Anolis sagrei: one gene and its partners. The protein of the gene in region 4 purifies or fractionates together with the protein of the main gene of each other region. This does not show direct contact. Links are inferred from orthologs where the notes say so. Each region holds a gene or a part of one and is shown on either strand. Other genes may lie near its edges. The genes, in order: PLCB3, LPAR2, PRKD1 and NHERF2.

The links.
Region 1: the proteins of NHERF2 (region 4) and PLCB3 purify together in Homo sapiens (co-immunoprecipitation; 3 studies listed by BioGRID and IntAct, with this or other methods). This does not show direct contact. The link is inferred for Anolis sagrei from reciprocal best matches to the Homo sapiens genes NHERF2 and PLCB3.
Region 2: the proteins of NHERF2 (region 4) and LPAR2 purify together in Homo sapiens (affinity purification with western blotting; 3 studies listed by BioGRID and IntAct, with this or other methods). This does not show direct contact. The link is inferred for Anolis sagrei from reciprocal best matches to the Homo sapiens genes NHERF2 and LPAR2.
Region 3: the proteins of NHERF2 (region 4) and PRKD1 purify together in Homo sapiens (affinity purification with mass spectrometry; 3 studies listed by BioGRID and IntAct, with this or other methods). This does not show direct contact. The link is inferred for Anolis sagrei from reciprocal best matches to the Homo sapiens genes NHERF2 and PRKD1.

What each region holds. Positions count from the first base shown.
Region 1 is NC_090032.1:16,250,740-16,258,589, reverse strand, and holds the start of PLCB3 (1-phosphatidylinositol 4,5-bisphosphate phosphodiesterase beta-3), read right to left. Parts: upstream 3,013-7,850; 5' UTR 2,890-3,012; coding exon 2,791-2,889; intron 1-2,790. UniProt on the Homo sapiens protein: Catalyzes the production of the second messenger molecules diacylglycerol (DAG) and inositol 1,4,5-trisphosphate (IP3).
Region 2 is NC_090022.1:147,098,382-147,105,952, reverse strand, and holds the start of LPAR2 (lysophosphatidic acid receptor 2), read right to left. Parts: upstream 3,003-7,571; 5' UTR 2,608-3,002; intron 1-2,607. UniProt on the Homo sapiens protein: Receptor for lysophosphatidic acid (LPA), a mediator of diverse cellular activities. Seems to be coupled to the G(i)/G(o), G(12)/G(13), and G(q) families of heteromeric G proteins. Plays a key role in phospholipase C-beta (PLC-beta) signaling pathway.
Region 3 is NC_090021.1:298,204,576-298,211,854, forward strand, and holds the start of PRKD1 (serine/threonine-protein kinase D1), read right to left. Parts: upstream 3,010-7,279; 5' UTR 2,864-3,009; coding exon 2,846-2,863; intron 1-2,845.
Region 4 is NC_090034.1:20,931,872-20,939,505, forward strand, and holds the start of NHERF2 (Na(+)/H(+) exchange regulatory cofactor NHE-RF2), read left to right. Parts: upstream 1-4,616; 5' UTR 4,617-4,844; coding exon 4,845-5,129; intron 5,130-7,634.

The DNA of each region.
Region 1 (7,850 bases), on a different chromosome or scaffold from region 4:
GGAAGGAAGGAAGGAGAGAGTGAGAAGGAGGGAGGGAGTAGGGGAAGGAAAGAAGGATGGAAAGAGAGAGGGAAGAGAGAGAAAAAGAGTAAAGAATGAAAGATAGAAGAAGGAAGGAAAGCAAGAGGAAGTGAGAGAGAGAGAGAAGGAAGGAAGGAAGGGGAGAGAGGAAGATGGGGGAAAGATGGATGGAAAGAGAGAGGGAAGGAAAGGAGAAAGGAGAAAGAAAGTGGGTGAGAGAAAAGGAAGGAAGGAAAGAGGAAGAGAGAGAAATGAAGGGAGCAAGAAGGAGGGAGGGAATAGGGGAAGGAAGGAAGGATGGAAAGACAGAGGGGAGAGAGAAAGAAAGTAAAGAATGATAGATGGAGAAGGAAGGAAAGGAAGAGGAAGCGAAAGAGAGAGAAGGAAAGAGAGGGAGAGATTCAAGGATGGAAAAAAAGATGGATGGAAAGAGAGAGACGGAATGAAGGAAATGAGAAAGTGGGGGGGGGAGAGGAAGAAGGAAGGAAAGGAAGAGAGAAAGTGAAGGAAGAGAGCAAGAGAGAGAAGGAAGGAGTAGGAGAGGAAAGAATGATGGAAAGAGAGAGAAGGAAGGAAAGTAAAGAAGGAAGGAAGGAGAGAAAGAGGGGGAGGAAATAGGCTGGAAAGAGAGGGGGAAGGAAAAAGAGAGGAAGGGAGGAGAAAAAGAAGCAAGGAAAGTAAAGAAGGAAGGAAGGAGAGTGAGAAAGGGGTAAGAAATGAGGATGGAAAGAGAGAGGGAAGAATGAGCAAGAGAAAGAAGGAAAGAGAGAGAAAAGGAAGGAAAGGGAAAAGTGATGGAAGGGGGGAGAAGGAAGGAGGGAGTAGGGGAGAAAAGAAGGATGGAAATAGAGAGAAGGAAGGAAAGTAAACAAGGAAGGAAGGAAGGAAGGAAGGAAAGAGGAGGAAGAAATAGGCTGGAAAGAGAGGGAAGGAAAGAAGAGAGGAATGTAAGGAAGAGAAGAGAGGGAAGGAAGGAAGGAGGGAAAGCAAGAGGAAGGAAGAGAGATGGAGAAAGTAGGGGGAGGAAAGAAGGATGGAAAGAGAGAGAGAAGGACGGAAGGAAGGAAGGAAAGAAGGCAGGAAGGAAGGAAGAAAAGAAAGAAAGAGAGAGGAAGGAAGAGAGAGAAGAAAGGAGGGTGTAGGAGAGGAAAGAAGTATGGAAAGAGAGAGAATGAAGGAAGGAAAGAAAGAAAGAGGAAGGAAGAGAGAAAGAAGGAAGTAGGGAGTAGGGGAGGAAAGAAGGATGGAAAGAGAGAGAAGGAAGTAAACAAGGAAGGAAGGAGGAAATAGGCTGCAAAGAGAGGGAAGGAAAGAATAGAGGACTGTAAGGAAGGAGAGAGAGAAGGAAGGAATGAAAGTAAGAGGAAGGAAGAGAGAGAAAGGGGAAGTAGGGGGAGAAAAGAAGGATGGAAAGAGAGAGAAGGAAGGAAGGAAAGTAAACAAGGAAGGAAGGAAAGAGGAGGAAATAGGCTGGAAAGAGAGGGAAGGAAAAAGAGAGGACTGTAAGGAGGGTAAGAGAGAGAGAAGGAAGGAAGGAAGGAAGGAAGGAAGAAGGAAGGTAAGCGGAAGAGAGAGAAGGAGCGAGTAGGGGGAGGAAAGAAGGATGGAAAGAGAGAAGGAAGGAAGGAAGGAAGGAAAGAGGAAGGAAGAGAGAAAGAAGGAAGGAGGGAGAAGAAGAAGGAAAGAAGGATGGAAAGAGAGAGGGAAGGAAAGAAAGAAAGAGGAAGAGAGAGGGAAGGAGGGAGTAGAGGGAGGAAAGAACAGTGGAAAAAGGGAAGGAAGGAAGGAAGAAGGGAGAGAAAGAGAAGGATGGAGGGAGGGAGTAGAGGAGGAAAGAAGGATGGAAAGAGAGAGAATGAAGGATGGAAAGGAAGAGGAAGGAAGAGAGAGAGAAGGAAGGAGGGAGTAGGGGGAGGAAAGAGAGAAAGAAAGAAAGAAAGAAAGAGGAAGGAAGAGAGAGAGAAGGAAGGAGGGAGTAGGGGAAGGAAAGAGAGAAAGAAGGAAAGAAAGAAAGAAGAAGGGGGAGGGAGAGAGAAGGAAGGAGGGAGTAGGGGAAGGAAAGAGAGAAAGAAGGAAAGAAAGAAAGAAAGAAGAAGGGGGAGGGAGAGAGAAGGAAGGAGGGAGTAGGGGAAGGAAAGAGAGAAAGAAGGAAAGAAAGAAAGAAGAAGGGGGAGGGAGGGAGAAGGAAGGAGGGAGTAGAGGGAGTTAAGAACAGTGGAAAGAAGGAAGGAAAGAGGAAGGAAGAGAGAGAAGGGGGGAGGGAGAGAGAAAAGGAAGGAAGGAGGGAGTAGAGGAGGAAAGAAGAGTGGAAAGAGGGAAGGAAGGAAAGAAAGAAGAAGGGAGAGAGAGAGAAGTAGGGAGGGAGTAGGGGAGGAAAGAAGAGCGGAAAGTGGGAAGGAAGAAACGGAGAAAGCAAGAAAGAAGAGAGGGGAGGAGGGGAGGAAAGAAAGGGTAGAAAGAGAGAAGGAAGGAAAGGAGAGAGAAAGGAAAGCAGGAAGGAGAGAGAGAAACGTGGAGTGAGGGAGGGAGGGAGGGAAAGAAAGGGAAGGAAGGAGAGAGAAGGAACGAAGGAAGGAGTGAGAGAGAAGAAAGGAGGGGAGAGAGAAACGTGGAGGGAGGGAGGGAGGGCAGGAAAGGAAAGAGAGGGAAGGAAAGAAAGAAAAGAAGGAACGAAGCAAGAAGAGAGAGGGGAAGAAAAGTAAAGAAGGAAGGGAAGAGAGAGAAAGAAAGAGAGAGAGAGAGTGGAGGAAGGCAGGCACACTCACTCACCTCGTCCCACTTCATGAACTTGCTGCCCTTGAGGAGGGTCTCGTGGACCTTCAGGGGCTCCAGCTGGAGGGCATGGACCCCCGGGCGGCCCCCAGCCATGGCGCCCCCTCCCCGGAAAGCCAAGCCAAGCCTTTGCCTTTGCCTTTGCCTTGCCTTGCCTTGCCTTGCCTTGGCTGCTTGCTTGGGCCGGGAGGGGCGAGGCTAAGCGAGGCGGGGTCTGCCTTTGGGGACCCTCCCTTTCCTCCTCCTCCTCCTCCTCCTTTTGGGAGGAGCCCCATTCCCTCTCATACCTCAGAACTCTGTAGCCCAAGCATGGGCCCTCCAGGAGTTTTGGACTCCAACTCCCACAATTCCTAACAGGCGTAGGCTTTGAACTGGATTATAATATTCCACACCTGGAGTATTGTGTCCAATTCTGGGCACCACCATTGAAGAGAGATGTTGACAAGCTGGAATGTGTCCAGAGGAGGGAGACTCAAATGATCAACAAACCCTATGAGGAGCGGCTGAAAGAGCTGGTGAAGTTTAGCCTGCAGAAGAGAAGGCTGAAATCGCCTAGCATCTTGGATGGAGGGCAATTAATAAGTAATTAAATGATGATGATGATGATGATGATGATGATGATGATGAGAGAAGGCTGAGAGGAGACATGATACCCCTGTATAAATATGTGAGAGTTGACAAGCTGGAATGTGTCCGGAAACGGCGACTCAAATGATCCAGGGTCTGGAGAACAAGCCCTATGATGAGCGGCTTAAAGAGCTGGGCATGTATAGCCTGACAAAGAGAAGGGCAAGAGGAGACATGATAGCCTGGTATAAATATGTGAGAGTTGACAAGCTGTCCAGAAACGGTGACTCAAATGATCAAGGGTCTGGAGAACAATCCCTATGAGGAGCGGCTTAAAGAGCTGGGCATGTATAGCCTGACGAAGAGAAGGTTGAGAGGAGACATGATAGCCTGGTATAAATATGTGAGAATTGACAAGCTGTCCAGAAACGGTGACTCAAATGATCAAGGGTCTGGAGAACAATCCCTATGAGGAGCGGCTTAAAGAGCTGGGCATGTTTAGCCTGAAGAAGAGAAGGTTGAGAGGAGACATGATAGCCCTGGATAAATATGTGAGAGTTGACAAGCTGGAATGTGTCCGGAAACGGCGACCCAAATGATCAAGGGTCTGGAGAACAAGCCCTATGAGGAGCGGCTTAAGGAGCTGGGCATGTTTAGCCTGAAGAAGAGAAGGCTGAGAGGAGACATGATAGCCATGTATAAATATGTGAGAGCTGACAAGCTGGAATGTGTCCGGAAACAGCGACCCAATGGCTTCTCTGTGTAGTCTGACATGGTGGTTGTTGTTGTGGTCCAGCATTTCTGTGTTCTCAAATAATATGCTGTGTCCAGGCTGGTTCATCAGGTGCTCTGCTATGGCTGACTTCTCTGGTTGGAGTAGTCTGCAGTGCCTTTCATGTTCCTGGATTCGTGACTACACAGAGAAGCCACTGAAATCCACAAGCATGTGGACAATTTCAACAGAAAGGAAGAGACCATGAAAATGAACAAAATCTGGCTACCAGTATTTAAAAACTCTAAAATTACAACAGCAAAACAGCAGAGAGGAAACAACCAGGCACATCTTAACACCTCTCAACAAAAGATTTTCCCAGGCTCAGCCAGGCCTTCAAATGGTAATGAAGGTAGTCAGTTGAAACATTCACACCTAGCTCCAGCAGAGAAGAGCTCTTTGCCCCACCCCAGCCATTCCACAGATATATAAACCCATTGTCCTAATTCCAACAGACCTCACTACCTCTGAGGATGCTTGCCATAGATGCAGGCGAAACGTCAGGAGAAATGCCTCTAGAACTTGGCCCTATAGCCTGAAAAAACCCACAAGAACCTAGTGATTCCAGCCATGAAAGCCTTCGACAATACAATTTTAACAAATATAAACTTATTAGTATTTCAATGGGAAGTGTGGGCCTGCTTTTGGCTGATGAGATAGGATTGTTGTTGTTGTTGTGTGCTTTCAAGTTGTTTCAGACTTAGGTTGACCCTGAGCGAGGGCCGGGTAAACGACCTTGGAGGGCCGTATCCGGCCCGCGGGCCTTAGTTTGAGGACCCCTGGTACACAGCAAATAGAGGAATTGCACCCAGCCAAACACGGACCTGGACCAAACTTGGCACACGGACCCATCCGTGCCGGACTTGTAGTTCGCACTGCATTTAGAGATATTACCAAAATAAGTGAGAAATGTTGGAATATTTGCCTTTAGATTGTAACAACAGCGCTGCACTCTGCTTTCCTCATTTCTTTGAAAGGGAAAGTACCAAACAAGAAAATAAACTGTGGACAAACTGGTTTTCTTGCCTCGAACAGGCTGTGCAAGATCCGCTGCCATTCATTTCAATCAGCTTCCACTCCCTTCTCTAGTTTCCCTGACTTTATAATAGCTTACACTACTTTATTTCTAGTTTAAAAGTGAGACAAATCTAATTCCGATTCATGTTACGAGTGGAATCTAAAACATCTGGAGTGCCCAAGGTCTGCCTGGAAGCAAGACTGGGAATCATGCAACTTTGCAGATATTCAACTATCAATCAATGGCTTGTACTTACTTAGACAATCCCTCATTGTCCAAGTGTGATGGCTGTTGGAGTTCAGCGTGTGGTTGTGTTTCAGGATCAGGGTGCTTTGGATGTGGGGAATGATGTTAATGAGGTTCTGAAATGGCAGGGAGAAGGTTTGAGGGAAAGAGGCAAAGAGAGTCCCTGAGGTCTGAAAAAGTACGGTTTATTCTCAGTTGGTATGGACCCTGCTGGTAGTCCAGAGACAGGGCACCAAACAAAGAAAAGCCTTGGTTTATATACCCTTTAACATAATATGCATGCATCATACAGGCATCATAATGTGCCTCACAAAATTCTACTTTTACATTTATTTATTAATTAATTTATTTACTTTATTTGTATACCGTTCTCAGCCCTTAGGCAACTCAGAGCGGTTAACAACAAACAGCAGCAACAATTCAATGCTATCATCATACAAACCATTTAAAAACAATTAACATAATAATACACTAAGCAATTAACATCAATAAACCTCAGTAAACAACTCATTAGCGTCTCATAACTAAAATAATAATCCAAGCTCATCATCCGTAGTTCCGATTTCCTATAATTCATTATAATTCATTGCACTGCCTATTCAAACGCCTGTTCAAATAACCAGGGTTTCACTTTCTTCCGAAATGCCATTAATGAGGGAGCCGATCTAATGTCTGTGGGAAGGGCGTTCCACCACCGAGAAGGCCCTGTCCCTCGTCCCCGCCAACCGTGCCTGAGTTGCAGGCGGGACCGAGAGCAGGGCCTCCCCAGAAGATCTTAAAGTCCTAGTGGGTTCATAGGCGGAGATGCATTCGGATAGGTAACTTGGGCCAGAACCGTCTTTAGGGCTTTATAGGCCAACACCAGCACTTTGAATTATGCCCGGTAGCAAATTGGTAGCCAGTGGAGTTGGCACAACAGAGGAGTTGTATGCTCCCTGAGCGCCGCTCCTGTTAGTATAGCTGCCGAACGTTGAACCAGTTGAAGCTTCCGAGCAGTCTTCAAAGGCAACCCCAAGTAGAGAGTGTTGCAGTAGTCTAAACGGGATGTAACCAGAGCGTGGACTACCGTGGCCAAGTCAGACTTCCCAAGGTACGGGCGCAGCTGGCACACAAGCTTTAGCTGTGCAAATGCTCCCCTGGTCACCGCCGAAACCTGGGGTTCCAGGCTCAGCGATGAATCCAAGATCACACCCAAGCTGCGAACCTGCGTCTTCAGGGGGAGTGCGGCCCCATCCAACACAGGCTGTAACCCTATGCCCTGTTCGGCCTTGCGACTAACCAGGAGTACCTCTGTCTTGTCTGGATTCAGTTTCAATTTGTTCGCCATTGTTTGACTTCAATGGCATATTTTAACTTCAACACCTGTCAGTCTTCATTTAAGCACCTTTATCTAAGGAGCTGCTATTAATGAGAACCATGCACCAGAGTGTCTACTAGGCCACTGATAGCAAAGAGCTTCCATCCATCTTGAGATAAGTTCTTCCTGAAGCCTCTTGATGGCCAGCTCATTAATCTTAGAATAGGAGCCCCCGGTGGATTGAAGACCGACAGGTCGCAGGTTCGAATCCGGGGAGAGCTCCCTCTATCAACTCCAGCTCCTCATGCGGGGACATGAGAGAAGGCTCCCACAAGGATGATAAAAACATCAAATCATCCGGCCGTCCCCTGGGCAACGTCCTTACAGATGGCCAATTCTCTCACACCAGAAGCGACTTGCAGTTTCTCAAGTCGCTCCTGACACGACAAAAAAAAATCTTAGAATCATAGAATTATAGAGTTGGAAGAAACCTCATGGCCCATCCAGTCCAACCCCTTTCTGCCAAGAAGCAGGAAAACTGCATTCAACGCACCCCAACAGATGGCCATCCAGCCTCTGCTTAAAAGCTTCCAAAGAAGGAGCCTCCACCACACTCCGGGGCAGAGAGTTCCACTGCTGAACGGCTCTCACAGTCAGAAAGTTCTTCCTAATGTTCAGGTGGAATCTCCTTTCTTGTAGTTTGAAGCCATTGCTCCATTGCGTCCTAGTCTTCAGGGCAGCAGAAAATAAGCTACTACTGCAACGTTCTCTCCGTGGGGTTGCCTCTGAAGACTGCCCGGAAGCTCCAATTAGTCCAACGAGCGGCAGCCATATTACTAACAGGAGCAGAATACAGGGAGCATACTATTCCTCTGTTGCGCCAGCTCCACTGGCTGCCGATTAGCTTCCGAGCACAATTCAAAGTGCTGGTGTTGACCTATAAATCCTAAACGACTCCAGCCCAGTTTACCTGTCCGAACAGATTCTCCCCTATGAACCATCAAGATTGTTAAGATCTTCTGGAGGGGCCCTGCTCTCGGTCCCACCATCCTCGCAATCGCGTCTGGTGGGGACGAGGGACAGGGCTTTCTCGGTGGTGGCCCCTCGGCTCTGGAACTCTCTCCCACTGGAGATTAGAACTGCCCCTTCTCTCCTGA
Region 2 (7,571 bases), on a different chromosome or scaffold from region 4:
TGCTATACGTTTCCAGTATAGATAGGTCTTTCTGGCATTCGTCACTTCTTTCATGGCCCCTGTGCCCAAGGCCTTTTCCTTCCTGCTAAGGAGGATTCCAGCCCATATCAAGCCCTGCTCATCTGTCTTCAGGGCAGGATGCACATAGTTTTGGAGAGCCATCCAACATCCAACCCCTTGAGATTGGAGGACAGTATTTGTACTGCCTTCAGCAGTTATTGGTTGCTCAAGTTTCCTGCACTGTTTATCAACCCACAGACTTCCCTACAGGGAACCAATTCAGCTGTGCGAAAGGGTAACACAGGATGAGTTCACACCATATACAGTATTTTGAGAGAAGGGGCCTGAGACAGGACTGGCTTTCCACCATTAAACCAAGGTCCCTTCCACACAGCTGTATAAAATCCACATTGAACTGGATTATATGGCAGTGTAGACTCAGATAATCCAGTTCAAAGCAGATAATGTGGATTATCTGCTTTGGTAATCTGGATTATATAGCAATGTACAAGGGGCCTTAGTTGTCTTTTTAGGGAAGAGAAGAGAGCAATTTGATTTGGACCATAGGTAGGAGAAGGCAAGCAGTTCCTTGGCCTCAGACAGCAAAGTCTCTTAGGTCTCTACAGTCATATAAAATTCAGAATTGCCTGCTTTGAACTGAAATATGTGGCAGTTAAACCACCGAGCTGCTAAACTTGCTGACTGAGAGATCAGCAGTTCAAATCCGGGGAGCAGGTGAGCTCCCACTATTTAGACCCAGCTTCTGCCAACCTAGCAGTTTCAAACACACAAACATGAGTAGATCAATAGGTACCACTTTGGCAGGAAGGTTAGGGTGCTCCATGCAGTCATGCTGGCCACATGACCTTGGAGACGTCTACGGACAATGCCGGTTCTTCATCTTAGAATTGGAGATGAGCACCACCCCTCAGAGTCGGACACTTAGACTAATATAATTCAGTCCAAAGCGGATAATCTGGATTGTATATGGCAGTGTAGATGGTGCCTTGGACTGGCCTAGAACTAAGAGTAGACTCGTGATTTCATTTTTATACTATAAGGTAGACAAACTTATGCCCTTCAGGTATTTTCCAACATTGTAACTAAACAAACCAACAGGAAGACGCAGGCTGTACAGAACTGACACCTATCCGTCCATCACAACATCATTGCCATCCTTCAGTTCTCTCTGCCAAAACATCCCATTTCCCTTTTTCAATGTGCAACACAGTCCACTTGCAGAAAGAAAAGAAAGTTGCTGCTGTTTCAATTATGAAGACCATGAAAGTGCTGAGAACCTGGATTAACTAGTTGAGGGCTCTGCTGGCTGAAAGTGATGATTGGGCTGATTGAAACCAGGACTCCCAGACCTCTTCCACACAGCTGTATAAAATCCAGATTATCTGGTTTGAACTGGATTATATGGCAGTGTAGACTCAGATAATCAAGTTCAAAGCAGATAATCTGGATTTTCTGCCATGATATGATGAGTTATATGGCTGCATGGAAGGACCCTGAGTCTACAATGCCATATAATCCAGTTCAAAGCAGATAAATTGAATTATCCGATTTGATATTCTGGGTGATATGGCTGTGTGGAAGGGCCCTGAGTCCACACTGCCATATAATCTGATGTGGATTATCTGATTTGATATTCTGGGTTATATGGCTGTGTGGGCCCTGAGTCCACATTGCCATATAATCCAGTTCAAATCAAATAATGTGGATTATCTGATTTGAAATACTGTGTTATATGGCTGTGTGGAAGGGCCCTGAGTCCACACTGCTATATAATCTGGTGTGGATTATCTGATTTGATATTCTGTGTTACATGGCTGTGTGGAAGGGTCCTGAGTCCACACTGCCATATAATCCAGTTCAAAATGTGGATTATCTGATTTGATATTCTGGGTTTTATGCCAGTGTAGAAGGGGCTTTAGGGCCCTTCCACACAGCCATATAACCCAGATTATCAAGGCAGGAAATCCCACATTGTCTTTGAACTGAGTTATCTGAGTCCACACTGTTCAAAGCAGATAATGTGAGATTTTATTCAGCTTGTGTGGAAGGGGCCTGAGGCTAAATAAAGCCCTGCTTTGCTCCTTCCCCATCATGGGCGCATCTACACAGTGGTATGAATGGAGTTTGGCACCACTTTGAACTGTGCTATGGAATTAAGGGAGTTGTAGTTTGACAAGGTATAACTTTCTCTGCCGAAGAGTGCCATTCTGCAGTAAAATTACACCCCATGAGGACTAGAAACATAGAATGGTTGTTTTTCTAAACAAACGTGGAGATTCTCCAACTTACAACCCAACTTTAGGGCCAAACCCTATATCCTTTAAAGTCCTGAGTTGAAAGTTTGGGCTCCTTCTCCACTCTATATCCCAACATTTAGACTGACACTGAACTCCTTCCTCCTTCTATCTGAGCGCAAGAGCATCCGTCCTGCTCTTTTTCTTCCTTTCTTCCTCCCGCCACTTTCCCAAGTTACCCCCCTCTGCCCTGAGAAAACGAGGGAGAGATTGGGAACGCCTTGGCTAGAGGAACAAGCCCTTGCTTCCATTGTTTGCCCTTTTCCCGCCTCGCCAAAGCGAGAGGTCTTACCTGAAGGCAGAGAGGAGAGTCCGAGAGAAAGGGACTAGCGCCGGGCTTCTTCCCTCCCAAGGGTGAGGTTTCTGGAGCCGAAGTTCCTTGTCATTGCTGGGCAGCTGGGTCGGGCCTCTCTCCCCTTCCCCCTTCCCCTCCTTCCCTTGCTGTTGGGTCTCCTTTCAACAAAGACCAAAGGAGGGAGGACTCAAAGACTCCCGCCACACTCCGCCACCCTCCCCAAAGGCTGCCCAAGTTGCCAAGCCGGCCGCCTTCCCTTCTGCCTGGCTTCCTTCCCTTCTGCCTCGGAGAACTGCCTTCCCGCTCTGGGGCCTCCTTGCTCGCTGGCCCAGGCCCGCCTCCCTCGCCTTGCAGGAGACCTGCTCCCTTAAGCCACCCAGGAATTGTAACCTGAGTCGCCTCTTGCCTCTTCCTTCCTTCCTCCCTTCTTCCTCCACTTGCCATTCATCTGCAAGGAAAGAAAGACTGTCCTCTCCAGCCCCCTCCGGGTCTCCAGAAGCTTTGTTTGGGCAGCCACTCCTTTGTGGAGTTTCTGTCTGGGAAAGGGGGATTAAGGGGGCCTTCCACACAGCCATATAACCCAGTATATCAAGACAAATAATCCACAATGTCCGCTTTGAACTGGGTGATCTGAGGGCCCTTCCACCCAGCCCTATATCCCAGAATATGGAGGCAGAAAATCCCACACTATCTGGTTTGAACTGGGCGATCTGAGTCCACACTCAGATAATGTGGGATTTTCTGCCCTTCCACACAGCCATATAACCCAGAATACCAAGGCAAATAATCCACAATATCCACTTTGAACTGGGTGATCTGAGGGCCCTTCCACCCAGCCCTATATCTCAGAATATGGAGGCAGAAAATCCCACACTATCTGGTTTGAACTGGGCAATCTGAGTCCACTCTCAGATAGTGTGGGATTTTCTGTCCTTCCACCAGCCATATAACCCAGAATATCAAGGCAAATAATCCACAATATCCACTTTGAACTGGGTGATCGGAGGGCCCTATATCCCAGAATATCAAGGCAGGAAATCCCACACTTTCTGGTTTGAACTGGGCGATCTGAGTCCACACTCAACGTGGGATTTTCTGCCCTTCCACACAGCCATATAACCCAGAATATGAAGGCAAATAATCCACAATATCCGCTTTGAACTGGGCCCTTCCGCACAGCCCTATATTCCAGAATATCAAGGCAGAAAATCCCACATTATCTGAGTGTGGACTCAGATAACCCAGTTCAAACCAGATATTCTAGGAGTTTCTGGCTTGATATTCAGAGATATAGGGCAATGTGGAAGGGCCTCCAGCCCCCTTCCACACATCTGAATAAAACCCTACGTTATCTGCTTTGAACCAGAATACAGTGTTCCCTTGCTACTTCGCAATTCGCTTTTAACGGACTCGCTGTTTCGCGGGTTTTTGAATATATTAATCTATATAAATAAAAATGTAATTGTTTGTGGGATTGACATACCTCAAAAACCACTGGACAAATTGACACCAAATTTGGACACAATATATGTATCAGGCCAGCGAGTTACCTTCACTAATAAAAACACTGAAAAATGTATTGTCGAAGGCTTTCATGGCCAGAATCACTGGGTTGTTGTAGGTTATTCCGGGCTATATGACCATGTTCTAGAGGTATTTTCTCCTGACGTTTCGCCTGCATCTATGGCAAGCATCCTCACTACCTCTGAGGCTGCTTGCCATAGATGCAGGCGAAACGTCAGGAGAGAATGCCTCTAGACCATGGCCATATAGCCCGAAAAAACCTACAACAACTATACAAATCTTTGTTTCAAGCTCAAAATTACCTTTAAGCCATGTGTGTAAGATATTGATAAAGCGTACATTTGATTCCCCCTCCAAGATTTCCCATTATATAAAAATATGCAAACATAGGTTTTCCAAAACTGAAACAAAAATCTGAAATACAAAACGTTTCTGATCCCAAGGATTTCGGATAAGGATTATTCAACCAGTACTAAATAAAATCTGAGATGGTAAGTGCTGATAGTAATTGTAGTCCAACATGTCCCTATAGCCCGGAAAAACCTATAACAACCGAACACTGAAAAACCCAGCGGAAGAGACTTAAAAAGCCCAGAAATAAATAAAAAAACATTACAATGCATGCACAAAACCACATATATATACGCAAACAAATATACACACGCGGTGAAAATACAACAAACTAAACTACCATTACTTTGCCCCTCTTTTGTGACATTCTACATCTACTACCTGAGGTATGTCTGACTTTGGTGTTCTTTAGCAGATTCCCATTCATTTCAGTTTGTTATGGGGGGGGGGGGCTTCCCCAAAGGATTGCACAACATCTAAATCAGTGTGTTTTGTGGAGCAGATGACCCATTACCGTAAAAAGCATCTTAAGATCACCCTTTGTTCCCCTACCACTGGATAAAACTAGTTTCTTCCTTTGCTTATTTGCATGTAAAAGGGGTGTTGTGATGAGGGGAGCGAACAGAGATACTTTGCCATTGGCTCAGTTCTACCAGATCTAAGGATTAACAGATAAGGAAGATTTTTCAGCTGGAGCACTCCTCTCCTGCCTCTGACCAAACCATAAATCACAGGATAGAACCATGGCATTTAACATGGAAGCATAGTGCTAGAACCATATATGTAGTGTGTGAAAGGATCCTTACTATTAAGTTGAGTGGTGCAGCCACTTCAGGCAGATTTCTGATGTCAGAAGAAAAAAGGAACACATTTTTGCTGATGTGAATGATCATTGCTGTATCCTCCTTGCCAGGAAGAGGAATTTGTGGGATTTTTTTACTTCCTCCAAGTAGCTGGCCTTTGACTCGAGAAAGGAGACACCCCATTTGCTTCTCCACCCTGGGCAGCAAATTGTCTTGAGCCCTTCCTACTTGAAAGTATGCTCCATAGAGCCCAGTGGGACATATTTCAGTGTAAACAGTACGGTATCAAACTATATAAGGCTTGTAGCCCATGGCTTATCTATGTTTACTCAGAAGTAAGTCCCTGTTGGTTCATTGGAATGTGTGACCCAGTATCGTATCTGTTTACTCAGAAGTACGCCCCACTGTGTTCAACAGAGCTTGCATCCAGGTTAGTATGCGTAAGCATACTGAGAAGTAAATGAAAATCCAGAAGAAAGTGAGGCTTGCATCTGGGTAAGTGGATGTAGTAATGAGGCTGCAAGTGCTGAGTCCTAGCCCCGTAAATAATTGGGTTTAGGACTGCTGGTTTTAGGCCTTTGAACTGCCGTCTGGATTAAAGGGATTTTAAAGTGATGGGAATAGATTGCTAACCCTGGAGACAATAAGGCCTACTGTTTGAAGGAGGGGCTGGCTCAATTGGGGATCTTTATGCACACAATAAGTAATGGAGGAGACTGAGAAGGACTTTCTGGATATAGAGATCATTTTTCACAACAGTTTAGGACTTATGGCTCAGACATGGACACAGTAATTGGTAAAGAATAAGAAACAATGGACCCCTGGGTTGCATCCTTCCTGCCCAGTGAGTGGAAGGAGGCTATAATAACATGATCAGATGCGTCGGTGAATTGCACATTTAGGCAGCAATCCTGCACAGCACAAATGTACAATCTCTGGATTTCTTAAACTACACTCCTAGCAGCTCTCACCAGCATACTCCAAGATGCAAAATACTGGGATCTGCACTCACCAGTAGCTGGAAGGCCATGTTTTCCCATTCTTTCAGGCTGTGAATAGTCATAATCATATAAAAAACATCACAGAGGATGAAAACCTTGTAGCATTTTTCACAGGCTTTGTAGCTTTGTATTAGAAAAAAACGTTTGCTGGGGTTTCAAATGCAAAAAGGTGGTTAAAGTACTCTTGAGATAACGTAGAATGAAAGGACAACACAAACTACCCTTGGATTGTGGCAGAGTCGCCTTTGGAGGTTTACAAACAGAGGCTGGATAACATCTGTTGGTTTGTGTGTTCCTGCATGGCATGATCCTTATGGTGTCTTCCAACATTATGATTGCCAAACATTGGTTCCAAGACAGCAAAGTTATGATGAAATAGCCAATATCCTGAGATCTCAGAATGATTGATTATTTTTGCACATTGTAACATACTTAGTCTAAATACCTGGAAGGCACCAGATCCTCTCTGTTCTTGGAAACTAAACAGTTTCCAGTATCATTAGTACTTGAATGAAGGACTACCAAGAAATATCAGGTGCTGGAAGTAATGCTCTTTAAGTTATCTAAGCAAGGGACCATTTCTCCCAATGTGCCAGGAAACAGCATGTATTTGTAAAGTAAGTTTAAAGGTTTCCCCTCGACATTAAGTCATGTCCAGATCTGGGGGGGGGGGGGGGGGCGTTATCTCAATTTCTAAGCTATGAACCATCAAGACAATTAAGATCTTCTAGTGGGGCCCTGCTCTCGGTCCCGCCACTTTCGCAATCACGTCTGGCGGGAATGAGTGACAGGGCCTTTTCTGTGGTGGCCCCTCGGCTATGGAACTCTCTCTCGATTGATATCAGATTTGCCCCCTCCCTCCTGTCCTTCAGGTGAAATCCTGGTTATGGAAGGAAGCATTCCCAGAGTGATGGTTGAAACCGGCTACAGAATAAAGTTATCGACCACACATGCGGACTGAGTTGGACATGATTTTATCTTGGCGATTTGGCTTTTATTTGTAATTTTAATTGATATGTATTTTAACTCGTTATTATATGATGTTTTTAGATTGTACTATTACCATTGAATCCTTGCTGTAAGACGGTCTGAGTCCCTCTACGGAGGTTGAGAAGATCAGGATATAAAAGTTTTCAATAAATAAATAAGCTGAAGAGCCGGCGTTGTCCGTACACACCTCCAAGGTCATGTAGCCAGCATGGAGTGCTGGTACCATCCCACCAAAGTGGTACCTATTGATCTACTCATATTTGTATTCATTGACAATTGTTTCTTTTTTCCC
Region 3 (7,279 bases), on a different chromosome or scaffold from region 4:
ATGTTCACAAGCTGGAATGTATCCAGAGGAAGATGACTAAAATGATCAAGGATCTGGAGAACAAGCCCTATGAGGAGAGGCTTAAGGAGCTGGGCATGTTTAGCCTACAGAAGAGAAGGCTGAAAGGAGACATGATGAGGGCCATGTGAGGGGAAGTCATAGGGAGAAGCAAACAAGCTTGTTTTCTGCTTGTGCCCTGGAGACTAGGACACAGAACTACAGGAAAGGAGATTCCACCTGAATACGAGGAAGAACTTCCCAAGCCTGAAAGTTGTTCAGCAGTGGAACTCTCTGCCATGGAGTGTAGTGGAAGTGCCATCTTTGGAGGCTTTTAAACAGAGGCTGGATAGCTATCTGTCGGGGGTACTTTGAATGCAATTTTCCTGCTTCTTGGCAGGTGGTTGGACTGGATGGCCTACGAGGTCTCTTCCAACTCAATGATTCCATCATTGTGGGCTGTATGGCCATATTCCAGAAGCATTATCTCCTCCCATTTCACCCACATCTATGACAGGCGTCCTCAGAGGTTGAGGGGTCTGTTGGAATGTAGTCAAGTGGGGTTTATATATCTTTGAAATGTCCAGGGTGGAAGAAAAAATCTCTTGTCTGCCTGAGACAGGTGTGAATGTTGAAATTAGTCAGATTGATTGGCATTGAATAGCCTTGCAGCTTCAAAGCCTGGCTGCTTCCTGCCTGGGAGACTTCTTTGTTTTGAGGTGATTAGCTGGCCCTGATTGTTTCCTATCTTGAATTCCCTTGTTTTTTGGAGTATGCTCTTCATTTACTGCCCTGATTTTAAAGTTTTTTAAATACTGGTATCCAGATTTTGTTCATTTTCATGTTTTTTTTCTCCTTTCCATTCCACAGATATCATCACAAGTGTGGCTGGTGAGAATGAGGGGGGGGGGCTTTCTCTGCGATCGCTCCCCATCTCTGGAACTCCTTTCCCAAAGAAATAAAAATGATACCTACCCTCCTCTCCTTTAAAGGGCTCTTGAAAACGCACTTGTGCACTTTGATGTATGGAGAGGAGGAGGATTAGGGCATTTCAGTTCCACAGGAATGCTGGCTAACCTATTTGTATCCCACTGCTGCTATGGTACATGAGAAGAACAACCTTGATAGTCATTTTAATGTTTTTAGTTGTATTTTCTAGGCTTTATTTTTCAATGGTTAATTTATGTCATTAGTATAATTAGGTTTATTCAGTTATTCGTATTTGCCCCTCGTTTTGATGTTAATTTCCTTTTTGTCACAATTTTATGGTTATTATTTTTGTATTATCCTCTTTATTTTATTTGTATTTGAGTTCAAGCATTGAATGTTTACCTTTGTTGTTTGTAAACTGTCCTGAGTCCCCTTGGGGAGAGAGGGTGCTCTATAAATAAACTTTCATTATTATTATTATTATTATTATTATCATTATTATATAAACCTTACTTGCCTAGTTTCCAACAGACCTCACAACCTCTGAGGATGCCTGCCAAAGATGTGTTGCTTATTCTTAATACCCCCTCCCCTCAAAAAGAGGGAAGAAGTTGACATTAATTTCTTCTATCTACCTCCCCTCAATAAAGAGAGAGGAAATTAGCAGCCCTCTCTTCTCCTAGCCCCCCCCCCGCCCCACCCCAAGAGAGAGGAAATTGGTAACTTATTCCTCCTGTCAAAAGCCATCAAAAAGGGAAACCTTCCTGTGAGTTTTAAATGGCATTTTAGCATATCTACTGTATTTCAGTTTTGTTTTTACCACACTGCTCCTTGTTAATTTCTTTTTAACTTTCGTATTGCACCTTTTAAACTTGCCTGATGTGGAATCTGAGCCACCTTGAGTCCCCACAGGGAGAAAGTCAGGATATAAATCAAGATAATAAATAAATATTTATTATCTTGAACAACATTCAAAAAACAGGGGAATTCCAGACAAGAAACAATCAGGGCCAGCTAATCACCTCCCAACAAAGGATTCCCCCAGGCAGGAAGCAGCCAGGCTTTGAATCTGCAAGGCTATTCAATGCTAATCAAGGTGGCCAATTACAACATTCATTCTTGCTTCAAGCAGACAAGAATTCTTTCTCCCGCCCTGGACATTCCACGGATATATAAACCTCACTTGCCTAGTTTCCAACAGACCTCTCAACCTCTGAGGATGCCTGCCATAAATGTGGGTGAAACGTCAGGAGAGAATGCTTCAGGAACATGGCTATACAGCTCGGAAAACTCATAGCAACCCAGTGATTCCAGCCATGAAAGCCTTCAACAACAACAATAAATAAATAAATTCTTCTTAATTCCTGCTGCCCTCCCAAATTCCTCAAAAAGGGGAAGGAAATTGGCAACCTTAATTCTTCCTAACATCTCCCAGACCACTTTGTACAAAACTTCTTGCCATATAGGAAGCCCCTCCCTCAAAAAAGCAATCAAAAATGGAAAGGAAATCAGCAGCACTTGTTCTTCCTACTCCCTCTCTCTCCAAAAAAAGGAAATAGGTCACTTCTTCCTCCACCACCCTTCCCAAAAGCCATCAAAAGGGGCGAGGAGGAAATTGGCAACCTTCTTTCTTCCTAACTCCCCCCCTCCCAAAAAAAAGCCCTCAAAAAGAGGCGGAAATAGCCAACCTGTGTTCTGCCTAACTCCCCCCCTTTCCCAACTTCATACCAAACTTCCCTCTTGCCATCTAGTTAATTTGTTTTAGCACATTCCAATCCATGTAACCCTTTTGCTCCCAAGTCCACCTTTCCATAAAGTCCAACTTAACACCTCCCTTTCCAACCCTGACAAGTCTCGCATAAAGAAAAGGGAGACAATCTCCCTCCCCCTCCCCCTTCCCTTGAAGCCCTCCAGATACCTTCAAAGCAGCCTTCATCCCAGCTGTTCTTACTGGTTTGTGCACTGCTGCTGTTCACATTGAAGAAATACTGAATCCTTCCTACTTCTGGGCTGGCTTAGGACTTACACGTGAGTAGGAGCTTCCTTCCACCTGCCAGCCCACTCTTTCTAGATCTCCCCCATCCCAGTTTACATACACACACACACACACACACACAAAGAGCCAGTCACATGCTGACAGGAGAGGGAGGCAGCTGTCACCACATAAAACGGGGGGTTCTGTTCAGCTGACTGCTGTGTCCTTCATCTCAGCTGTTCCTCCTCCCCAATCTGATTTAGTGGAGAATAATAAGAAAGAATCCCACCCACCACCTGTCATTTTTTTTCTATTTACCAAACACACAAAAACATCCTATCTAGTGAATGTCATTTTCTAACCAGAAGCTCTTTATGTTTAATGCAGGAAGGAGGAGTTTGTCTTTCCAGCAACAGAACAAGTGCATGTTTCAGCTCTTGTTCAAATGAAAGCTTTAATAAAGCAGGATGGGCCTCTTTTCATTTCCTTGGCATCCTTTTTATACCAAGGATCTTGGGGTGGCATCTCTAGAGTGTATCTTGTATGACAAATTAGGCAACACAAAAATGCTGTGCAAAAGACTGGGAATTTGAACTTAATAGAAATTTAAGAGCCGCCATGGTGTAATGCAGAGCTTTCCAAACCATATGTCATGACACGTTAGTGTGTTGGTTGCACTGTGCAGATGTGTCACATAAACATAACGAGAAATGACAAAATCTTGAAAATGTGTGTTATTATCTTACTTTTTTCTGAAATATAAATGAAAAGTTTTCATGACATTATGTTATTACAGTTTATGGAAGAAGAGGAGGAGGAGGAGGAGGAGGCGGAGGCAGCCAGGATCGAAAAATCAGCCGATGACCCAAAATGCAGATTGTGCAAGGAAGCTGATGAAACCATTGATCATATCCTCAGCTGCTGCAAGAAAATTGCACAGACAGACTACAAACAGGGGCACAACCATGTGGCCCAAATGATTCATTGGAACTTATGTCACAAGTACCACCTGCCTGTAGTAAAGAACTGGTGGGATCATAAACCTGCAAAAGTCATGGAAAATGAACATGCAAAAATATTGTGGGACTTTTGAATCCAAACTGACAAAGTTTTGGAATACAATACACCAGATATCATGATTGTGGAAAAGAAAAAAGTTTGGATTATACCAAGACCTCAAAATTGAACTGCAAAGACTCTGACATAAACCAGTACAGGTGGTCTCAGTGGTAATCAGCACACTGGGTGTCATGCCAAAAGATCTCAGCCAGCATTTGGAAACAATGAACATTGACAAATCACAATCTCAACTGTAAAAGGCCACCTTACTTGGATCTGCACACATCATTCGAAAATATATCAAACAGTCCTAAATGCTTGGGAAGTGTTCTACTTGTGATTTTGTGATATGAAATCTAGCATATATATCTTGATTGCTATGTCATACTGTGTTTTTGTGTCAGTAAAATCATTATTGTTGTTGTTATTATAGGAGATGGAGGGACTGAATCTTGCAGCCCAAGAAAAAGCCATTAGAACCAATGCTATCAAAGCCAGAATTGAAAAGTTGATGGCAGATCCCAAGTGTAGACTCTGCAAGGAAGCAGATGAAACGATCAATCACATCCTCAGCTGCTGCAAAAAGATCGCGCAGACAGACTACAAGGAGAGGCATAATAATATTGCTCAGATGATCCTTTGGAACTTGTGCCACAAATACCATCTGCCTGTGACAAAGAACTGGGATCACAAACCTGAAAAAGTTATGGAAAATGAACACGTCAAACTACTCTGGGACTTCTGAATTCAGACTGACAGAGTTTTGGAGCAAAATACTCCTGACCTCATGATCATGGAGGAAAAAAACAAGTATGGATCGTCGATGTTGCAATCCCAGGTGACAGCAGGATTGATGAGAAGCAACTGGAAAAGCTTACACAATATGAAGATTTATAGATAGAATTGCAAAGACTCTGGCACAAGCCAGTAAAGCTGGTCCCAGTGGTGATTGGCACACTGGGTGCAGTGGCCTGCACTTAAAAACAATCAGCGGCAGCACTGACAAAATTACCATCTGTCAGCTGCAAAAGGACACCCTACTTGGATATGCACTCATTATTTGCTGATACATCACACAAACCTAGATACTTGAGAAGTGTCCGATGTGTGATCAATTGCAAAAGGCAACATAGAGATCTTGTTCGCTGTGTACTAATCTTGTTATGTGTCAAATAATAATAATAATAATAATAATACTTTATTTATATACTGCCCTATCACCCCAGAGGGACTCGGGGTGGTTTCCAACCTATAAGGCAAAATATTCAATTGCCAGAAAAGAAAAACCATACAGACAAATTAAAACCAAGCATCATAAAACATAAAATCATACTAAAACATACATAAAAATTTAAAATTTTCATTATAGCTCCATCAGACAGGTCTCTAGAACAGCGGGAAGTCAATTTTCCCCCTCCTCCTCCTCCTCCTCAATGGGACACTCTCTTAAATCTTGAAGCATGGTTTTCATGTTCCCTCTCTACCTTCTTTTCTCCCAGCTAAACATTTCTCAGGAGGAAAGGAGGAAGGAAAATGATTAGGAAGGGAGGGAGGGAGGAAGAGAAGGATACTGGAAAGGATTGGAGGGAGGGAGGGAGGGAGGGAGGGAGGGAGGGAGGAAAGAGGGAAGGAAGGATGAAAAGGTGGAAGGGAAGGAGGGAGGGAGAAAGAGGGAGGGAAGGATGAAAAGGTGGAAGGGAAGGAGGGAGGGAGAAAGAGGGAGGGAAGGAAGGAAGGAAGGGTGAGAGAGAGGTGGGGAAGGAAGCCGAGTTCTCTTGACTTCCCCACCTCTCTCCCTTCCTTCCTTCCTTCTGGAAGGAATGATAGGATGGTGAGAGAGACGAGGCCCTGAGAAAAGAGCCAAAGGGGCTGCATCTGGCCCCGCGCCTGGGTTTGCCCATACCTGTTATAGTGACTCAATCATTTTAAGATGGTGAGCCTGCAACATAAGACCTAATGAGATATTCTCCATTTACAGAATTACTTTTAGATTTGTTTCTGGCTCAAAATAGTTACATCACTTATTACCATTACTATCACCTATTAATTCCTATTACCTATCAACTATTGCCATTACCATTACCATTTAAGGTTGGCTTAAAGCTAACCTTGGAAACTATGGCATAGACACCAAGAACTTGGAAGCACTGGCCCTTGAGCTCTCTAACTGGAGGTCAGTTGTGACCAGCAGTGCTGCAGAATGCGAAGAGGCACAAATGGAGAGCAAAAAGGAAAAATGTGCCAAGAGAAAGGTGCGTCAAGCCAACCCTGATTGGAACTGGCTTCCAGCTGACAGCCGATGCCCTCACTGTGGATGAACATGCAGATCAAGAATAAGACTCCACAATCACCTACATATCCACCGCCAAGACACTACACTTGGAAGGCCATCGTATTCAGACAACGAGGGATCGCCTAAGTAAGTATTATTACTCCCAATGGCACTTTTATAAGTCAGCAATGCTTACTGTAGATAATTCAGTTTTAGACTATGTTTGTCCTTCTTTATATCATTGCTAGAAAAGGATGGGAATTATTTTTTTTTTGTTTGGACTATGAGAACTGCAAAATATTTGATATGGGAACCAGGTTATGATCATACTTCGGTAGTCATACTTTTCAGAATTTTACAATGCTATTCCTTCAACCAGAAAATGTTTGGAAGTTGTATTTTTGATGTACAATTTAATAAAATTATTTTAAAATGTTTATAAACACATACATTGGGGGCAGTTACACAAGCTGCATATATATTAATGAAAAAGCAGCATTATATGAAGAAAAACTGTTTGCTGAAATGCATATATTGGACAGATTGAATAAAAATGCATTTATTAGAAGAAGACATACATATTTTCATTTGCGACTTTTAAAATGCAGTTTTAGAGGAAGATCAAAAATTGGGACATAATAAATGTCAGGTAAGGAAAATGAGAAATTATATTGACAGATTGACAGATAGACAAATTGTCTATCTCTGCTGTGATGATCAGAACAGAAATGGGGCGTTATGAGAAAAGATAGTAGGTGGAGATGGTTCATTGGAGCTGGATGAGTTTCATTGGAACTGTTATCTACACCTCCCACTACTTGAAAAATGAAGACGCTTCTGCCTACATCAATGATGTTGTCATTGTATTTTTGCAGAAGGAATTGTGGGAGTTGAACTACAACCCCATGATCCCTGGCATGAAATGATGGCCATATGTGAAGGAGGCACAGCTACCAACCCTGGTTTGTAGAAAATTAATTAGGTAGTGAATTTATTCCGCCCCTTATTGGAAGATGTGGGATGAACCCACTATTTCTGGTGTCTGA
Region 4 (7,634 bases):
AAACTATCTAGATAGATGATTCCCTTGAAGCTGAGAGATTGTTTCCTGTGGAAACAGAAGCAAAGAGTATGTGTGTTTGTTAATTCTCTTTCTTGACAGACAAGCCCTGATCATCACCTTTTGTTTAAGGAGTCTCACACCTTTGTTTTCGGAAGCTCTTATCTTTGTCTGCTATCAAACTGGACAGTTGAGCGAATCAAAAGCTCATTAACATTTCCTTGGTATTGTCTTCACAGATTATGTATCCTCCCAGGGGGGTGTTACATCAAATGATTAGTCCTTCACCGGCCTATCCCCGACCTTCATTTCCCTACCAAAGTGGCAGCATCAGTAGAGCCTCCAGCCAATCGGGGTATGGATCCTTACCAGTCCCCTTTTTGACCAATTAGAGGAGGGAGTGGGAGTTTTGAATAGCTGTTAAACTGTATAAGATATCTTGCTTTTCTCTGTGTGTTATGCTTGCACTTTTTGAAGCATCTTGCTTGTACTTGCATCCCTTTTGGCCTAATTGAATTAAACCTCTGTGGCTTGTCTTCATCCTGGTGAGTTGTTTCCCTGTCCTGACCCATTCGGTTTAGAATATGCTTACCAGGCACGGACCCTCTTATCAGTGGTCCTAGTTTAACCACTACACAAATAGGAAATTGAGCATGTTTTGGAGAAATTACAGGAAGTCACTTTGGGGCTCTTTTTTAGCTGCTTTGGGGCTCTTTTTTAGAGACATAAAGCAGGATAGAAACAACAACAATAGCAACAACAACAGCCTAGAATTGTGCATTCTAATTACTCCATGATCAAGGGTAAGTGAATCTGAAGATATGGGTTCTGCCGTTAAGGGTGGTCTTACTATAGTTCTTAAAAGTTTAGCTTCAGCAGCAAACTATATTTCCTAAGAGTTGTTTAGACTTCCATCCAGCCAGACTTCTATCTGGCTGGCTAACTTTTAAATGGAGATTTGCTGGAGTTTATCATGGTTGAATCAGCAGATGGCAGCATTGGATCAATTTTGGCCAGGCTTCGGCAGCCTTGCATTGGAAAGCTCTCTGCAGTATATTGAAGATCCAATGTCTTGTTCTTATTCCAGTTATATCACCGCACAGCACAGTCTTGCCATACGGTGCAACCCTCTTGGTAGTAATTAATGTGTCTCTGTGTCTGGTTTGTAAAGTAAAAGGCAGAAAAACCAGAGGAAGACCTGAATGGACTCCATCAAGAGAGCCCTGAGTTTGGAAGGGCGGAATAATATTAGGATCTATTGGAGGTCTCTCATTCATAAAGTAAACCATAAGCTGAAGCTGGTTAATGTATTATTATTTACTGCAAAGAGTCTAAATACCTTCAAGGCACCAGATTCTGCCTCAGCTTGGATGCTAAGCAGGGCCAGCCCTGGATGGCATTTGGATGGGAGACTGCCAATATAGATCTAAGTGCTATACGCAATATTTCACAGAAAGGAACTAGCAAAGAAAGGCCTAAATCCTCTAAAGGCACCAGATCCCAACTGACTGTGAATGCTAAGCAGGGTCAGCCCTGGTTGGTTCCTGGATGGGAGATCGCCAATGTATATCTAAGTGCTATAGGTAATATTTCCAAGAAAAAAGACTACCTAAATCCCCTAAAGGCACCAGATCCCAACCAATTGTAGATGCTAAGCAGGGTCAGCCCTGGTTGGTACTTGGATGGGAGATCACCAATGTATATCTAAATGCTATAGGTAATATTTCAAAGGAAGGAACTACCTAAATCCTCTAAAGGGACCCAATCCCAACCAATTGTGGATGCTAAGCAGGGTCAGCCCTGGTTGATACTTGGATGGGAGGCCGCTAATGTATATCTAAGAGCTATAGGAAATATTTCAAAGTAAGGAACTAACTAAATCCCCTAAAGGCACCAGATCCCAACCAATTGTAGATGCTAAGCAGGGTCAGCCCTGGTTGGTACTTGGATGGGAGATCGCCAATGTATATCTAAATGTTATAGGTAATATTTCAAAGGAAGGAACTACCTAAATCCTCTAAAGGGACCCAATCCCAACCAATTGTGGATGCTAAGCAGGGTCAGCCCTGGTTGATACTTGGATGGGAGGCCGCTAATGTATATCTAAGAGCTATAGGAAATATTTCAAAGTAAGGAACTAACTAAATCCCCTAAAGGCACCAGATCCCAACCAATTGTAGATGCTAAGCAGGGTCAGCCCTGGTTGGTACTTGGATGGGAGGCCGCCAATGTATATCTAAGTGCTATAGGCAGCATTTCATAGGAAGGAACTAGCAAAGAAAGGCCTAAATCCTGGATCTCAACTGATTGTGAATGCTAAGCAGGGCCAGTTTTGGATGATACTTGGATGGGAGGACACCAATGAATACCATAGGAAAAACCATGTCAAAGTTTTCCTTGCATAAGAAAACCCGGAAATCCATAAGCCTGGCAGTATGATGGCAATGGGAAGAAAGGGGAGCCTACGCTGCATTGCTTCTTTGAGAACAAATCCTTCCTTCAAAGCACTCCTCTCGCATTGTATGACAGCAAGGGGTCAAAGCACTCAGCTCCTGAATCCTCCATAATGGAGGCTGTGGGCGGAATAAAGCACCTGGAACACACCGCTCTTTAGGCCTCCGGAATGAGACCGCTGTGCAGGGTGTGCAGAACGGCAGGAGACTTTTCTTCAAAAGCTTTAATGTGTTGTTCTTGCCATTTGCGAACAAAAGAGCAGCAAAATGATTGAAGGGGGTGGATTCTGAAACACCTTCGCTCCCCTGAAAACATCCAAGGTTTCCTGCCAGTTCTAAGTTCCAATGTCACTCGTGCAAGGAAAGAGAAATATGGAGAAACAGGGGACTTGAATCTTGGGACCCTAGCATTGGAAGGGGCCTCTAAAGGCCATCCAGATGAGTGTGAACTCCAATCTTTGCTTACTTCTTGCTCAGAAATACCCATTATTTGCATGCTGGGTAGAAAGGGGCTTGAGTATCGATATGCAGCTACACTGCAGAATTAATGCAGTTTGATGCCACTTGAACTGACCTAGTTCAGTGCTATGGAATCCTGGGAGTTGGAGTTTTGCCTTCCCTGCCAAAAGATGCGCTTTGTGCCTCCCCAAAGTGGCTTGAATGTTACAATCCCCATTTGGTTGCACAAGGTGGTTATGTTTGTTTTTAAGCTTTGGGAAAATAGGAAGGAAGGAAGGTAGAGAGAAGTGAAGGAAGGAAGAGATGGGAGAGAGAAGGAGGCAAGAGAAAGAAGGGTAGGAGGGAAGGGAAAAGGTGGAAAGGAAGGTAGAAAGAAAGAATACAGAGAATGAATGAAAGTTAGAAAGAAGGAAATTTAAGAGCTTCAGAGTAAGAGAAGTGTAGAAAGAAAGAAGGGGGTAGGAAGGAAGGAAAAGAGAAGTGGAGAAGAGGAAGGAAGGTAGAAAGAAGCAAAGAGAGAAAGGAAGAAAGGATAATAGAAAGAAGGAAGAAAGATGGGAAGAAATGAAGAAAGACAGAAAGGATGGAAGACAGAAATAAGTGAAGACAGAAAGAAAAGAAGGAAGATAGAGAGAAGTGAAGAGAGAAAGAAATGAAGATAGAAAGAAACAAAAAGAGAAAGGAAGGAAGAGAGCTTCTTTTTGGGAGGCTTTTAAGCAAAGGCTGGATGACCATCTGTCAGGGGTGCTTTGAATGTGATTTTTCGGCTTCTTGGCAGGGGGTTGGACTGGATGGCCCATGAAGTCTCTTCCAACTCTATGATTCTAAGGAAGGTAGAAAGAAATGAAGAAAGAGAGAAAAGAAGAAAGGAAGGAAGATGGAAAGTAGCGCAGAAAGAGAGAAAGAAAGGAAGATAGGAAGGAAGATAGAGAGAAATAAAGAGGGAAAGGAAGGAAGATAGAAAGAAAAACGTGAAGAGAAAAAGGATGGAAAATATGAATAAGTGAAGAGAAAAAGGAAGGAAGGAAGATAGAAATAAGTAAAGAAAGAGAGAAAGGGAGGAAGGGAGGTAGAAAAGAAAGGAAGAAAAGATGGAAGGAAGGAAGGAAAGAAAGAAGGTAGAAAAGAAAGGAAGAAAAGAAGGAAGGAAAGAAAAGAGGTAGAAAATAAAGAAGGAAAAGGAAGGAAGGAAAGGAGGTAGAAAAGAAAGGGAGGGAGGGAGGTAGAAAAGAAAGGAAGGATGGGTGGAAGGAAGGAAAGGAGGCAGAAAAGAAAGGAAGAAAAGACGGAAGGAAGGAAGGAAAGGAGGTAGAAAAGAAAGGAAGAAAAGAAGGAAGGAAGGAAGGAAGGAAGGAAAAGAGGCAGAAAAGAAAGAAGGAAAAGAAGGATGGAAGGAAAGGAAGGAAGGAAAGAAAGGAGGTAGAAAAGAAAGGAAGGAAACAAGGAAAGAAAGAAAAGAGGCAGAAAATAAAGAACGAAAAGAAGGAAGGAAGGGAGGTAGAAAAGAAAGGAAGGATGGATGGAAGGAAGGAAAGGAAGGAAGGAAAGGAGGCAGAAAAGAAAGGAAGGATGGAAAATCCAGAGTATCTGAGAGGGAGAAAGAAAGAGAGAGAAGATAGAGAGAAACAACGGAAGGAAGGAGGAAGAGGAGAGAAAGGGGACGCCCCCTCCTCTTTCTCTGAGCCCCCCTTCCTTTTTCCCAACCTCTGGAAGGTTCCGGTGGATGAAGGAAGGAGGGAAGGAGCAAGGAGAGCGAGAGAGAGCGAGAGAGAGAGAGCGAGCGAGCGGGGAAGGGGCGGGGCGGCCTTGTTGTCCTTCCTCCTCCTCCTCCTCCCCCTCCCCTTCGTGGCCATGATCCGCACCGGGGCTCGGGTCCCTCTCTAGCCTGGCTCCGTCCGGCAGCCGCTTCCTCCCGCCCGCCCGCCCGCCGCGGCCATGGCCAAGGAGCAAGGCGGCGCCGCCTCGGCCTCGGCGGGCTCTCCGCCGTCCTCGCCGCCCGCCTCCTCGTCCTCGTCCTCGGGGCCCCCCGTCCCGCGCCTCTGCCCCATGCGCAAGGGCCCCTCCGGCTACGGCTTCCACCTCCACGGGGAGAAGGGCAAGAGCGGGCAGTTCATCCGGCAGGTCGAGCCCGGCTCCCCCGCCGAGGCCGCCGGGCTGCGGGCCGGAGACAGGCTGGTCCAGGTCAACGGGCACAACGTGGAGAAGGAGACCCACCACCAGGTCAGAAGGAGGGAGAGGGCGGGCGGGGTGGGGGGGGGGGGAAGAGCAAAGACGGGGCTCTCCCTGCCTGCCTGCCTTTCTCAGGCATGGGCCAACTTCGGCCCTCCAGGTGTTTTGGACTGCAACTCCCACCATTCCAAAGAGGGCAAACTACAACTCCCAGGGCCCAATCATATTGAGCCAGGAGGCAGTTCAAGCGCTAAACTGCAACCATTCCACAGTGTGGACCAGGCATGGGCCAACTTCGGCCCTCCAGGTGTTTTGGATTTCAACTCCTACAATTCCTAACAGCCACAGGCTCTTTCCTTTTCCGCTTAAGCGGCCGAGGGGGGAAAGAAAGGGGCCTGAGGCTGTTGGGAATTGTGGGAGTTGAAGTCCAAAACACCTGGAGGGCCAAAGTTGGCCCATGCCTGGGGTATCTATCTATGTATCTCTCTCTCTCTCTCTGTGTATCTCTCTCTCTGTTTCTGTCTCTCTGTATCTATCTTCTATCTATCCCTTTCTATCTTTCTCTCGTCTGTCTGTCTGTCTGTCTGTCTCTCTCTCTCTCTATCTTCCTCTGTCTATGTATCTATCACCTATCTCTTTCAATCTTTCTCTGTATCTATTTGTGTATCTCTGTGTCTACAATATCGATCATCAATCAATCAATCTTTCCATCTTTCCGTCTACATGTGTGTGTCTCTCTTTCTATGTCTATCTATCTATCTATCTATCTATCTATCATCTATCTCTTTCTATCTCTTTCTATCTTTCTCTGTATCTATCTATCATCTATCTCTTTCTATTTTTCTCTGTATCTGTGTGTCTCTATCTATTTCTGTGTATCTCTCTCTCTCTGTCTCTCTCTCTCTCTCTGTGTGTATCATCTATCTATCTCTTTCTATCTTTCTATCTGTCTGTCTCTCTCTTTCTATCTCTGTGTATCTATCATCTATCTCTTTCTATTTTTCTCTGTATCTGTGTGTCTTTCTTTCTATCCTTTTCTATCTCTCTCTTTTTATCTGTCTATCTCTCTATCTATTTGTGTATCTCTCTATCTATCTGTGTATCATCTGTCTCTTTCTGTCTTTCTGTCTGTGTCTCTATCTATTATCTATCTATCTCTTTCTATTTCTCTCTCTACCTATCTATATGTGTCCCTCTTTCTATCTCTGTGTAACTCTCTCTGTGTCTATCACTCTCTCTGTCACTCTCTCTCTTTCTTTTCATCTATCTATATCTATCTATCTATCTATCTATCTATCTATCTCTGTCTGTGTACCTTGCTCTCTGTCTCTGTTTAACTCTTTCTCTATCTATCTATCTATCTATCTGTGTATCTCTTTCTCTTTGGCCACTTCTACACAGTTGTATAAAATCCACATTGAATTGGGTTATATGGCAGTGAGGACTCAGATAACCCAGTTCAAAGCAGACATTGTGGATTATCTGCCGTGATATTCTGGGTTATATGGCTGTGTGGAAGCCCCTTCTCCATATCTCTATCTTTGTGGTGTATCTCTATCTATCTATCTATCTATCTATCTGTGTATATCTCTCTCTCTCTCTCTCTCTCTCTCTCTGTATCTCTATTTGTCTATCTCTGTGTATCTCTCTTTTTCTCTATGGCTGGATCTACTCTGTCATATAATCCAGATTATCAAATCAGAAAATCCACATTATTTGCTTTGAAGTGCATTATATGAGTCTCCAGTTCAAAGCAGATAATCTGGATTTTATATGGGGCCCAAATCTGTGTATCCATCCTCTATCTATCTATCGATCCCTCTATCAATCTATCAATCTATCTATCTACCTATCTATATATCTCGTATCTCTTTGTGTATCTGTGTATATATCTCTCTGTATCTATCTATCAATCTGTGCATCTATCTATTTTTCTATCTATGTATCTATCAGTGTATCTCTATGTATCGATCTTTGTATCTATCAATCTGTTTATCTATCTGTGTATCTCTATCTGTATCTCTCTCTCTCTTGATCGATCTATGTATATCTATCTATCTATCTATCTTTCTATCTGTCTTCTAAATGTTCATTACACTAACCAGCCATTTGTGTGGAGGGTTCACATGGGGTCTTCCTGCCCTGCCAAAGGAGGTCGGACTGGAGGGCCTTCAGAGTCCCCTTCCAATTCTAGCATCCTATGATCCTATGACCCTATTTCTCCATATCTATCTATCTGTCTGTCTGTCTGTCTGTCTGTAAATGTCTATGTATGGGGCAGGTTCCAATCTCTCTCCTGCAGCTAGAGACCATTCACCATCATTTTTTAGCAAGGAAAAAGAAATATCGAGACATTGAGCAATAGAATCATAAGGTCCTAGAGCTGGAAGGGGCCTGTAAGGCCATCCAGTCCAACCCCATTCTATTAAACAGGAAGGCTGTCAGCATCCAAGCCCTCCCCACAGATGGCCATTTAGCTTCATGGACATTTGTGGAGAAACAGGGCAGTTGAATCATAGGGTCCTAGAAATGGAAGGGGCCTCTAAAGGTCATCCA